2 linked regions of the Drosophila melanogaster genome follow. The protein of the gene in region 1 purifies or fractionates together with the protein of each later gene. This does not show direct contact. Each region holds a gene or a part of one and is shown on either strand. Other genes may lie near its edges.

The links. Proteins that work in one complex are often made in the same cells at the same time.
Region 2: the proteins of CG9467 (region 1) and Art4 purify together in Drosophila melanogaster (affinity purification with mass spectrometry, with the first as the bait; one large-scale study listed by BioGRID). This does not show direct contact.

Annotation. Positions count from the first base shown.
Region 1 is NT_033777.3:9,796,635-9,803,279, reverse strand, and holds CG9467 (uncharacterized protein), read left to right. Parts: upstream 1-2,253; 5' UTR 2,254-2,549; coding exon 2,550-2,611; intron 2,612-2,689; coding exon 2,690-4,820; coding exon of another isoform or gene 4,821-4,991; 3' UTR 4,992-5,511; downstream 5,512-6,645. Other genes in the region: CG8526 (uncharacterized protein), read right to left, coding at 1-1,366, 1,428-1,651, 1,704-1,800; CG8516 (uncharacterized protein), read right to left, coding at 6,277-6,645.
Region 2 is NT_033777.3:9,981,747-9,987,893, forward strand, and holds Art4 (arginine methyltransferase 4), read right to left. Parts: upstream 4,315-6,147; 5' UTR 3,934-4,314; coding exon 3,732-3,933; intron 3,670-3,731; coding exon 2,776-3,669; intron 2,722-2,775; coding exon 2,311-2,721; intron 2,253-2,310; coding exon 2,167-2,252; 3' UTR 1,070-2,166; downstream 1-1,069. Other genes in the region: Glut4EF (glucose transporter 4 enhancer factor), read left to right, coding at 533-624, 4,902-5,087, 5,151-6,042. UniProt on the Drosophila melanogaster protein: Methylates (mono- and asymmetric dimethylation) the guanidino nitrogens of arginyl residues in proteins. May methylate histone H3 at 'Arg-17' and activate transcription via chromatin remodeling. Coordinates ecdysone-mediated expression of cell death genes.

The DNA.
Region 1 (6,645 bases):
AGGGATTCTCGTAGTGCGGCAGCAGATAGTCTACCACCTCGTGATTACCTAACTGGCAGGCGTAGTGCAGAGCCGTTCGTCCAGTCCGATCAGCCAGCGTGAGATTGGCTCCGGCTAGCCGAAATGACTCCAATCGCTTGATCTTGCCCCGCTCGGTAAGGGCACGTAGTAGCTCCGCCTGGACCAGCGGCTGATCGTTCAGCTTGGCGCCGTTCTTGAGCAGAGCGTTGATTATATCATGGTTGTCCGTGTCGATGGCCTCGTGCAACGGCGTGCGGTTGAATCGATCGTGGACATTTACCGGACAGCCGGCGGAAATTAGAAAGCAAACGCAGTTCAGTTTGCCCAGGAAGCAGGCCAGGTGCATGGCGGAGCGACCATCGCAGTTGGTGTCGCACAGATTGGCGCCGTACTGCTTAAGATCGCCCAACTTGTGGACATCACCTTCGGTGACCGCGGCCGCCACCAAAGCGGGATAGAATGTGGAGCACATCTGCTGCCGTTCCATCGCCGTCGACATGTGCAATGTGCGGGCCACGCCCTCGATCAGATCAATGTCGTTAATCTTGGCAACCTTATTGGTGGTCAGCTCTCCGCGCAAACTTAGTAGCATCACCTTCTTCTTGTTGGGAATGTCCCACTCCGGCTTGGACAGCACATAGGCCAGTTTGGTAAAGGCTGCCTCCTGAGTCATATCGTAGCCGGGTATTACGCCCACTTCCATCAGACCCTGGCTTGTCTCGTAAATGTTGGCCACCATGCCCGCCGAGCACTGCGTAATGTTGACAATAATAACGCCTCTGTGAACCGCCTCCCTCAGTTCGTCCAGCAAGTCCTCACGATTAACCGGAAAATTGCCGGCCCCAAAGGTCTGGAGGACAACACCTTTCGTTGGCTCTTTCAGGATTGCCTGCACCACACTGGCACTTATTCCCGGGTAAATACGCAGCAGCGCCACGTTCTTTTCGAGTTCCGAATGAAGTGAAAATGGTTTAATATTGCACGGTCGGAAGATTTGGCGGCTGTTGATCTCAATGTTGACACTCGCCCGACCCAATGGTGCAAAATTTGGTGAGTCCAGTGCGTGAAAAGAGTCAGAATTGAGCTTCGTGGAGCGACAGCCACGTAGAATCTTGTTGCCGAAGAAGACCAGCACTTCGGGTATACTGTAATTTCCTGCTATGAGAAGTGCGCCCAAGAAGTTCTCCCGCCCATCGCTGCGGGCTTCAAAGATCGGAATCTGTGCCCCAGTGAATACCACGGGCTTGTTCAGGCTCTCAAGCATGAACGCTAGTGCCGAGGCGGAGTAGGCTAGGGTATCCGTTCCATGGAGGATCACAAAGCCGTCGTAGGACTTGTATGTCTTCTGCGAAAAAAGTTAGTTGCATATTTTGTATTAACCTGATGATCCTCGACTCTCAACTTACTCCCACTTCGTTGGCAATGCGCTTCCAGTCGCAGAAGCCCATGCAGCTGGAGTCCATCAGTGGGCAGAACTCAATCAAATCGTAAAGGACTCTATACGGAGCTCCAGACACTGCGGGTAGCACCATCATGGGACCATCATTATCCTTGCTGGTGTAATTCCTGTCGTGGCAGCTGGGAAACTCTTGAAGCTGCCGAGCCAGCACCTTGGGCGCGGTGTGCAGTACTGATGAGAAACAATTGATTAGTACACGGACAAGAGCCATTGATATACCCACCTCCGGACTCGTTGCGGATCATTCCGATGGTTCCACCCACGTAGATGACATGGACGCGAGCCTCCTTCTTCAAACAACCGCACTTCGCCGCCGGCATTTTGGGCTTTTTCGAAATTTTGAGTGGTGTCCGAAACTAAACTAAAGCGTAGTTCCAAAGGCTCAGAGTGTGACAGCAAGATCCATGAGCTTTTTGTTTTGATGCTTAATACAAGTCATAACTTTACAATATTTTCAAATTTACCACCAAGCGAAATAAACCGTTGCTTGACGAAAAGGTGGTATGACCGTATTGCATGGGAATTTAACCGAGAGTTAGAGATGTACACTGCTTCACAAGAAATATCGTTGCTTATAATTGTGGAAATGCATATACTTTCTGATGCCCAAATTAATTTTATTTCTATATTAATTATTTTTTAATGATGAATTGTTGTTTGGAAACCATCAAAAACCTTGGTGAGTTAACACATACAAAATCAAAAGTGGAAAGTTCAGCAAAACAACTAAATGCAACAGGGACCCCCCGTAAACAGTGACTCGTCATGGCTGGGAACAGTCACGACCAATTTGCCCATCCCTAGTTTCTACAGTGCAGTGCAACAAATAATAAATAAATAAATAGCCTGGCACAAAGAGTTAATCGAATAAATTGCACCCCGCAGCGCACGTCAAGTGGGTTGGGTACCGAAATCGCGAGTTATCTGCTCCGCTGACGCCGCTGCCACTGCTCCGCCATATCAGTTGCTGATTGGAGCGCTGGGAGCACGGAAGCCACACAAATAGAGGCGCATTTAGAGCAATCCCCACCGTCCGCTGCTGCGGCAGCCCGCGGGTCATCGGATTGCCATGTCCCACTTCACGCATGCCTCCAGCAGCGACCTGGTCAACCTCAATGTGGGTGGTCAGCGGTAAGAACAAAGAACCAACACATTACGGCCCACTAACGGCATTGATGACGCATGCAAACTCCATCTCACTATCCATAGCTTTTCCACGTCGCGGCAAACGCTTACGTGGATCCCGGACACCTTCTTCACGGCTCTTCTCAGCGGACGCATCTCGAGTCTCAGAGACGAGCACAATGCCATCTTTATTGATCGCGATCCGACGCTCTTCTCGATCATACTTAACTACTTAAGGACCAAGGACATCGACATCAAGAACTGCGAAATACGCGCTCTGCGCCATGAGGCCGAGTACTATGGCATCACGCCGCTGACCAAGCGCCTGGCCCTCTGCGAAGACCTTAACCACTCGTCCTGCGGTGATTTGCTGTTCTACGGATTTCTGGCGGCGCCGCCCATGCCGTCAAACGAAGCTGTGGCTGCTACTAGCGTTGACGAGTCATTGCCCTCCACTTCGGCCAGTGCGATTGGCAGTCGTCCTGGGTCCATGGTGCGCGTTCCCGAACCCTCACGCTCCTCACACTCGCGCAATTCATCATGGGATCTGCGCCTTGGTCGCACAGGTAGCACTGGCAATGGTGCCAATCCCCCAGCTCCCATGTTGCACTCACGTAATCCCTCGATTGACTTTATGCGCCACTCTCGGAACTCCTCGGCCGATCTGAACAAAGTCTTTCGAAACGAAGTTGGCCTGGTATTCAGTCCCACGCAGAACTCAAACTGGGTGGACCCGTTGCGAGTGCAAATCATTAAGGCGCACCAAAATTGGATAGCAGTGGCTTACGCACACTTTGTGACTTGCTACCGGGTGAAAGACTCCAACGGATGGCAGCAGGTGTTCACATCGCCCCACATCGACGCCACTATCGAAAGAATCGCCATCAACTCAAAGGTGAATACTTCCGCAGCAGAGCCACTGCCCAGCAAGATGGTGGCCATTTCTTACGGCAGTCAGATAAGATTGTGGAGCATTCAGGAGGGCGGCCAGAAAACGGATGTGGGCACGTTTAATTTAAATGTGCGAGTGGAGTACCTGTTCTTTATCGGCAGTCAGCTGGTGGCCCTGTCATCTTCCGGCAAGATCGGCGTCTGGCATGCGATGACGCAGCACTGGCAGATTCAGGACCTAGTGCCCGTGCTCTCATTCGATTCCGCAGGCTCTTTTTTGCTGCTGGGCTGCAACAACGGCTCCATTTACTACATAGACATGCAGAAGTTCCCGCTCCGGATAAAGGACAATGATTTACTGGTTACCGAGCTCTACAAAGATGTCACACTAGACCCTATCACGGCCATCTCGGTCTACCTTACCCCAAAAACCTCGAGCATAAGTGGCAATTGGATTGAAATTGCCTATGGCACAAAGTCGGGAGCGGTTCGAATCATTGTCCAGCATCCGGAGACAGCTGGCCATGGACCACACCTGTTCGAGACCTTCTTTGTGCACCAAAGCCCCGTAACGAAGGTGATGCTGTCGGAGAAATACCTCGTCTCCGTGTGCAGCGAATACCACCACGTGCGAACATGGCGTCTGACCCGCTTCCGGGGCATGCTCTCCACCCAGCCGGGATCCACGCCGGAAGCATCGTTCAAAATCGTGTCGCTGGAAGCTACCGATACGAGCTACAGCTATGCGGCTGGAAATGATTTTGGACCTTACGGTGACTACGACGACATGATATTTGTGCAAAAGGTGGTGCCCGAGACGGATCAGCTGTACGTACGCTTGGCCTCCAACGGTGATCGGGTGTGCGTCATTAGATCCGTAGATAGCTCCACAATTTCGGCCTTCTGTGTGCTCGAGTGCGAGGTATCGTCCCGGTTCATACTCACCGGTCACTGCAACGGCGCTATTCAAATGTGGGACCTAACCACTGCACTGGCGCTGCTCTCCAAGGATGAGCCGCAGCAGAAAATCAATGGCGGACCCGACACCAATGAGCTTCTCCGCCTACTTGACCAGTGTGAAATCAGCAATTCATCATGCACAACACCTTGTATGTCACCGTGTCTATCAGCTATGGGCAACGGCTCTGGAATGGCCTCCTCCATAGCCCGCATGAAAGCCAGCAACATAGCCCTGCTAAATCGGGAACCAGCAATGGCAATGGCCGTCCAAGCCGTCCAGCCGCCCGCTCAGGTCCAACCTGCTCTTCCAGAGGCTGTGGCGCCGGCAGCTGCTATCCCGATGGCTGACGACAACAACGAATGAGACGTGGAAGCGGCTGCTTGATTGGCGCTTGTCGGGCGCGTTTCATCGTTTACATTTCACAGGTATAGCTTAATCTTCGACTACCAGTTTATATTCCTGCAGTTCGTGGTGTGCGCCCTCATCTACGTCTGGGTGACGCGACTCACCCGCGGTCCAGCCACTGGGCCGTGATGAACTGCCAGCAGGCATTTACCCAATCAATTAATCTCCATTATATGTGCTCGATGTGTTTGCAAATGCAATGTGTATCCCGTAAACCCATTTTTTGTGCTCCTCCAAACTTGGATCGTACAGTTAGTAATTTAAAAAAAAAACGTCTGTCTTTGTTCTAGTTAAAGTTATGAAAATTAGTTAAAACCATGTAAACCAGAGTATAAGACTTCTGCAACCGATCATCTATAATTAGCACAACTCTCCTAAAGGGTGCTCCATCAGGACAGATACGAAATCGTTCGGCTTGGATAAGATTGGTTGCCTTAAGCAAAGAAAGTTCATTAAACAGCCAATCAGTTGATTGTCAACCTTGAAGATGATTACTTGTGATTAAAATCGATAGAGCGACTGCTTCAAATTCGAATCTGTCCTGTTGCATGCAATGCCACACATGAATATAATGATACGCCTTGTTGCAACCAGTAAACAGCTATACATATTCAATATAAATAAAGATAATTATACACAAAGAGATATCAAAATAGCGAGCGAGTTGTGTCATCAATAATTTATTGAACATTTTATCTTAGTTTCTTGATGGTTGAAGTGTTCCATTAACATTTATCAAATACAAATACTTGGCTTGCATTCTCGTGGGTGTTGTGTGTGTAAATACGTGTATATACGATATCCTACGCCTATACCGGACCTCAGTAAAGTAAAAAAGCAGCAAAAACGCCAAAACATATAAAAATATATATAATATACATTTGTGTATTGTAGGTAAGTTACCCCAACCCAACCCCGACCGCCATTTAAATATCATTGGCCTAAACACAACCCACTAACGACCGCCGGTGTGCTTAATAAACAATTTAAACAAGTGGCTCGTCAAGTGGGACCCCTGCCTTTAATTTACCTAAAATAGGACGCACTGGTACTGAGATAGAATAATAATAATGGAGTAGATACTTGGAGCGATTACCCACCCTCGCCCGGAAGCAATTGTCGAGCCGTTCATACAAATAGTTTGTACACAAATTCAACCTAAAGCTATGCTATATTCTAAAGGGCAAACCGATATGAAGCTGTGCCATTCTGGGATATCTGTTGTCCCGGATTTGCCCGTGGGTCAGTGACCCGTTGCCGTGCAATCTAAGACTGTCGCTTAGCGGTCGCCGTTCCTAACTACGATGAAGCGTTAATGTGTATGGGGGATCTGTGCATTGAATGGATGATATGTGTGCGTAAAGAATTGCTTAGCAAAAACTGATGAGGGGAGATCCAGCTCACTGGACACGGGCTACACGTGAAAGTAGTCGTCCACTAGCAACTGTTCACTTGGTGTAAATGCTGCCCCACTCCGCGGACTGCTCGTCTGCGTGTCTGACTCCTGATCCGTCTGCAGCGGCTCGTAGCCGGGCTCTATCCCACTGCTAGTGTTGGTCGTCGCTGTTGTCGTTGTCGCTGTATTGGACGCCGTGGTGAGATAGCACACCGACTCATAGTTAGGATCCGTTTCGCTCCCCGTGCCCGTCAGCGATTCATATTGCGAGGAGATCGGCGTGCTGGTGGCAACCGTTGAAGAGTTAAGCGACACGGAATTGGATGTGGAGCTGGGCGATGTGGGGGTCAAGCGACTGCTGCTACTGCCCGGCGTTCCTGCAACCGC
Region 2 (6,147 bases), 190 kb from region 1:
CCGGGCCCTGTTATCAGTGCAGGCGGCATCGAGCATGGCCAGCCAGGCAGCCAGCTCGTTCGGGCGGCATCGTTTGCCGCTCGGGAGTCCAAGGACTTCGAATCTGGCTTTCAGCCAAGCAGCCAGCCAGCCAGCCAGTTGCATTGTCCGCACTCACACAGTCGCACTTGGCACCGGGCCGGCACCGGTTCGAATCGCTCCTGTTCCTGCTACTGCTCCACAGCTGCGACTGCAACCGCTAAAGAGCCGCCAGTTGGAGAGCTGCTGCAGAACCACCATCATGCACACTATGGCAATGAATTACTACGTGGAGCGCAGTGACTACGAGGGCTACGGTCGCCACAGTCCCACGGGGGATAGTTGCTCGCGCTCCTCCACGTCTTCCTCCGAGGATTCAGTGATGCAGCCGTATTCCCGCCAAGTACGCTAGATATTAAAGGATATATTTAATTAATATTTATATTCAAGAGCAAACTAATAATATGTAATATGTAATCAATCTAATCAGAATCACCTTCTCTTGTCATTGCAGTCCAAAAAGTTCCGATGCGTCTATCGAGGATGTGTTGGCGTGGTAGACGATCTCAATGGAGTCGTGCGTCACATTAGGAAAACACATTTGGGGTAAGTGTACAAGTGGGAATGGCACTGCTATCAGAGGATTAGGTGGCGAGCAGCAAGTGGGCGGGGCCTTGACTTAGCCACCCGACCTTCTCGTTCCTTCCCCGCCAGCACTTCCACACGCCCGGAGCGGGTGCTGAAGGTGGTGTTGGTGGTGCCTCGAAAGTAGAGCACTCGAGCACAGTAAGCAGGTCACACGAGTGCGGCGTAGCCCCTCTCCAGCACGCAGATTACTTTGCAATGCGCACCTGCAGCAGCAGGCCAGCAATAGCAGCAGTGGGTGGCAGGTGCAGTGGTGGTGGCGCTTTTGAGGCCAAGGTCCAATTCAAAGCGCCCACACACGATCCGCGCTGAGCTTTGACACTTGCCAATCTCGTTTCCTATGTAAATCGAGAGGGGTTCCAAGTGGGGGTGCACAAATAAAAGACGCGGTGGGGCTTTGTTTTTTGCTGCTTTTGCTTTGACATTGTTCTCTCATCTGCATACATGCGGTATATCTATTCGTATATATATATATATATATATAATTGTATATGTTTTGCTTTATATTTATGTTTGCAGTGTATTGGGTGTTGTAGTGTTTTTGTGTTTCTACTTGCTGCTCTATAAAGTACAGTCCGCAAACAGGATACGAATGCGAGAATGTCGGGGTGTGTATAGGTTGGCGTACCTAACGCGTATATCTAGGTGTATATGCTTATATAGCGCTCGGCTTGCTGGCAGCGATATAGTTGGGTCTATGACAGGATCTGGGCTTGGATGCGTAACTTAGGATCGAACGAGGTGTGCCTCCACTGAACTGAATTAATCATAATCGTATTGGGGGTATAAGTATAATCTCTCGACCCAGGTCGGCCTTTAGTAATGATATCGTAGCTTAGCACTAAATCCTATGAGCAATTTCTTACATTTTGAAACGAACTAAACATAAACACGGTCGACAAGTACAAAAATTGAAACTAGCTGGAGGTACACACAATATATAGTATAATAACACACATAATAGATACAGTACAATCTGAATTTGTTGGTTTGTTCAAAGCTTACGGCAAAATCTGCAATTGGCAATCGGCATATTAACTAATAAACTTCCTGAAGCGCAGTCCCGTGCGGGCTAAATATCGGTATTACAATTCACATACGTTAAAAACTCTAATTACTATGGGCTTAAATTAGCTTAGGCTTATTAATATGCTGCGTGTTCTAAACAACTACATTAGTCTGCCTTGATTTGTTGATTGTTTGTATGTTGGTTACTTGCTGGGATGCTGGATTTCCTTCGATTTGTCCGATCGATTAAATGGGTAAGAGAAGGGAGGATAAGTATAGCACGATAGGGAAAGAGGTTGTTAAAAGGTATGCAAAACAGAACAGAACTAACTTTCGAAAATAGATAAAAATATTTTACACTTTTCAATAAATAACCTAATCATAAACTGTAACAAAACAAAAATTGGCAAAATTAGGATCAAGCGTAGAAAGTGAGCGGACTTAGAGCAAAGGGAATTCCCAGAAAGATGTATTGTTATTCGATCCACCGCCCCCCTAGTGCGGATGCATAAGTCCATGAGTGATGTCCATGCCTTCGCCTATTCCGTTCACGCTGATCCCTCCATTTAGCATGCTTGAAGCTATAGAAATTATAATCACATAAGCAATGAGATTATTATATCAAGGATTTGTTCTTACAATTGCGTGATCCTTGCGTGTCCACTTGTGTCCAGTACTGCTCAGATGGACTTTGGGTACTAGTCCCCGGCGGTGCCTGGACCGGGGCCCCCGTGTACCGAAAATACGGATTCTTAAGGTCCAGGGTGTTGCTCGACGAAATCAGCGTGCCTTCGATGTGTAGGTCGATGGTCACGTCATACGACTGCCGCCGATTGGCCTCCAGTAAGACACGGCCGGTCAGCGTCTGGCCCTGCTTAATAAAGATGGGCATGGGCAGAAGGCAGCGAACCTGATACCAATGTGTCAGAGGCGCTGTGGGCGACGTTGAGAGCCACACATTCTGGCTGCTGCCGCTAAACTCCACATCAAACCAAAAGGCCAGCCCATGGCAGATGCCAGTTTGCAGAATGTGAAACTCCAGGGGGATGCCTGCGGAAAGTCAACAGTTGGCCATTGTCGCAAATCACTTTTTCGGGTACTTACTTATCAAATGCAGATCGTCCTCCTTATCGTTGAGAAAGTCGCACACGTGCCGCACCGACTTGGCCATGCATATGCGGATGTCGAAGGTGTCCACAATGGGCTGTCGGAAGTACTCCTTCATGCCCTCTTTGTGCAGCGTGGTAAGGTCAACGCCGTGGAACGCCGACTGGTACCAGAAGTTGGCCTTGTTATATTGTTCCGAGTAGAGCGATTCGTCCGAAAAGGGTGCTATGTGCAAGTCGCCGTGCGTGGGGTACATCTTTCCTTGCGGCTTGAGCCACTTTCTGGCATGCAGATAGGTCTCCAACATGCGCTCGTTGTACAGCATATAGCCCATAGGCTCTGATATGATAACGTCCACTTTCTCGGGCAGCTCGATCTCCTCGATCTTCCCCGGTATCACAGAGATCTTATGCTGCACATTGTTGGACTCAACCAGCTGCTGGGCGTACTGGGCCATGTTGGAAGCCTCAATGGCGTACACTTTGGCAGCTCCCGCCTGCACGGCAAAGAAGGAGAGAATGCCCGAGCCGGCGCCCACATCCAGGACGATCTTGTCCTGAAAATCCACAGCATTGCCTAGAATGGCCCGCTGATACGTGCTTGTCCTTACATAGTCCTGCATCATGTTCTGCTGCTGACTGAGGTAGCCGTAGAACTGGAAGTACTGCGAGGCGGACGACTCCTCAGTGCGCTGCGAGAACACGGACTTGGGTCTCAAGTGCTTCACGTTCTCCACCACTTTGCGGAAGAGCTGCTGGTCCTGCTCGCTGGCAAACCTCAGCACTAGATTGTCGGCGTCCAGGGAAACGGCATAACTCCTTCGTCCCATTTGGGCGGCATCCGTATCGGCGGCTATCATGTACTCCTTGAGCACGTGGCTCCGGTCGTCGTCTGGTGGAGAGATTGGCGATATAAGGAACGGGTTTTATGAAACATTCGATGTCCTCTTTTACCTGACACAACACGGAGGACGACACCCTGGGAATCGTAGCTGCAGAGCAGCGTGCAGCTTCCCTTGTATTTGTTGGTAAACTCTAGCTTCTGCTCGTCGGCAATCGAGCTGATTACCACGCCGCAAAATTGGCAATTGCTCAGCGGCGAAACGGAGGCGGCGGTGGCCAGTTTTCGGGCCTCCTCGGGTCGCAGGCTGGACATGTTGGCTGGCTTTTTGGAGGGTAAAGAGGCAAAGGAACAAAGCAGGACCACAAGCGTCTTTTTTCCCTTGTTAATTGACAATGTAGACCTCGCTATACACACGCACGCACGCACACACACAAACACTCTAGCACACGCACACACACAGATACGCAGATGCAGACAGACAGACGCGCAATTTTTTCTATCTGCAAAATTTTCCACCACACACAAAATGGCTGGTGACTCGGGCAGCTGGATTAATTGGCGCTGGGAACTATATAGTGCGCTGCTTTTCAACTCGGACGATTACTCAAAATCGATCGCTCTTGTTGATTTCGTATTGATTTCACACGGAACATGCGTTCTTTTTTGCAAAAAGTGCTAGAGCTGGAACAAATAGTTGAGGCTAGAGGTGGGACCAAGTCCGATGCTTTTCGATAGGATTATTACCGCGCACTACCTTAAGACTAAGCGATTTTTCAGTCTAGTGAGATTTACAAAAGAATTGTATGCAAGGAAGCTTGCATCAATCTCAATTTCATTTTGAAATATAATTGAAAAAAAATAGTGCGGGGAAAAGAAATGTAAAAAGAAATAATATAGTTTTTTAAGTGGATAGAATCAAGGTTCAGAACTCTGGAACACTTCTAGCAGGGCCTCGAACCTAATGTGGGTGGTCGGCTAGTTGGCAACGCTAGTACAAAAAAGCGGTCGCTTGAAATGGAGAGTAGGTACCTAAATGAGGTACCTTAATAAATATTGACCAAAGTTTAACAGCAATTTTTAGCATTCATTTTAAAATATTTTTCCTATTTGTTTGAATTGAATTAAATCGAATAAACAACGTTAGACAACTTAAGTTCGTTAATTTAAAAGCTATCAATCTGATTTGAAGTAATACCGAACCTAGGTACATAACTGAAGCAAACTTGCCATCACTGACACATCCTTCTAATCAATTTCGCTATTTTTCGGTGGCATTGCAGAAAGGACTCCCATCGCTCCGCGGATGATGACGGAAATGAGGAGGACTTCTACCTCGAGGATGCCGACGACGACGTCGAGCAGGTGAAGCCCACTCTGGCCTCCGAGCCGACTCTGAGTCACCGGGACATGGCGCGTCCGCCGCACGAGGATCCCGAGTACCAGAAGCAGATTGTTGGCAACTTCAAGTGGGTTCTCTTGGTGCACGATATAGATACATTTAATGACATTATCCTTTTTCGATTTTCCAGGCAAGGACGCGGCGGTAGCCACTATAACCATCTAGCGCAGTCGCACGGACGCACCATCAGTGGCAGCAACATCCCGAGCACCCACCAGCAGCAGCTGCAGAACAACAACACCAGCTGCATCCCCACTTCGCACCTAGCCCACCACAACTACACATGCCCGGCGGCGACGGCGACAGTGGGCAGCTACTCCTCCACGGGGACGGGGTCGGTGGCGGCCAGTTCATCAGCCTCGCCGATCGGCAAGCACGCTCGCTCGTCGTCCTCCCGTCCGACCCACTCGGTAGCGCCATATCCATCGCCGACGTACGTCCAGCAACAGCAGCACCACCAACACACGCACCACCACAATTACGCCGGCAGCAGCGGCAGCAGCAACAGCAGCAGCAGCAGCAGTCCAGTGATCCACAGCAATAGCAGTGCCAACAACATGCTGCAGCAGCTGTCGCAGCAGAACGTCACAGTGACGGCGCACCACAGCCAGCAGCAGCAGCAACTGCAGCAGCAGCAACACCACCAGCAGCAGCAGCAACACAGCCACCAACAGCAGCAGCAACATCTCCTGTCCAGTGTGACGATCACGCCCAATTTCCATCCGGCGCAGCAGCAGCACCACCACCAACCGATGCGCGGCCACCAGCAGCAGCATCCACAGACAACTGCCGGCAACATGGTTGCCCAAAACAACAGTAACAACCACAGCAACGGAAGCAATCCGCTGCAGCAGCAACAGCACATGGCGCAACAGGTAGCCGTCAAGCATACGCCCCATTCGCCCGGCAAGAGGACGCGTGGCGAGAACAAAAAGTGCCGCAAGGTGTACGGCATGGAGAAACGCGACCAGTGGTGCACCCAGTGCCGGTGGAAGAAGGCGTGCAGTCGCTTCGGCGACTGAAAGCGACAGAAGTCGTCGACGGAGGCGGCAAACCAGGCGTCGGCGCACCAGTCCAAGGCAGCAACAGCAGCATCATCAGCAGCATTATCATCATCAGCATCAGCA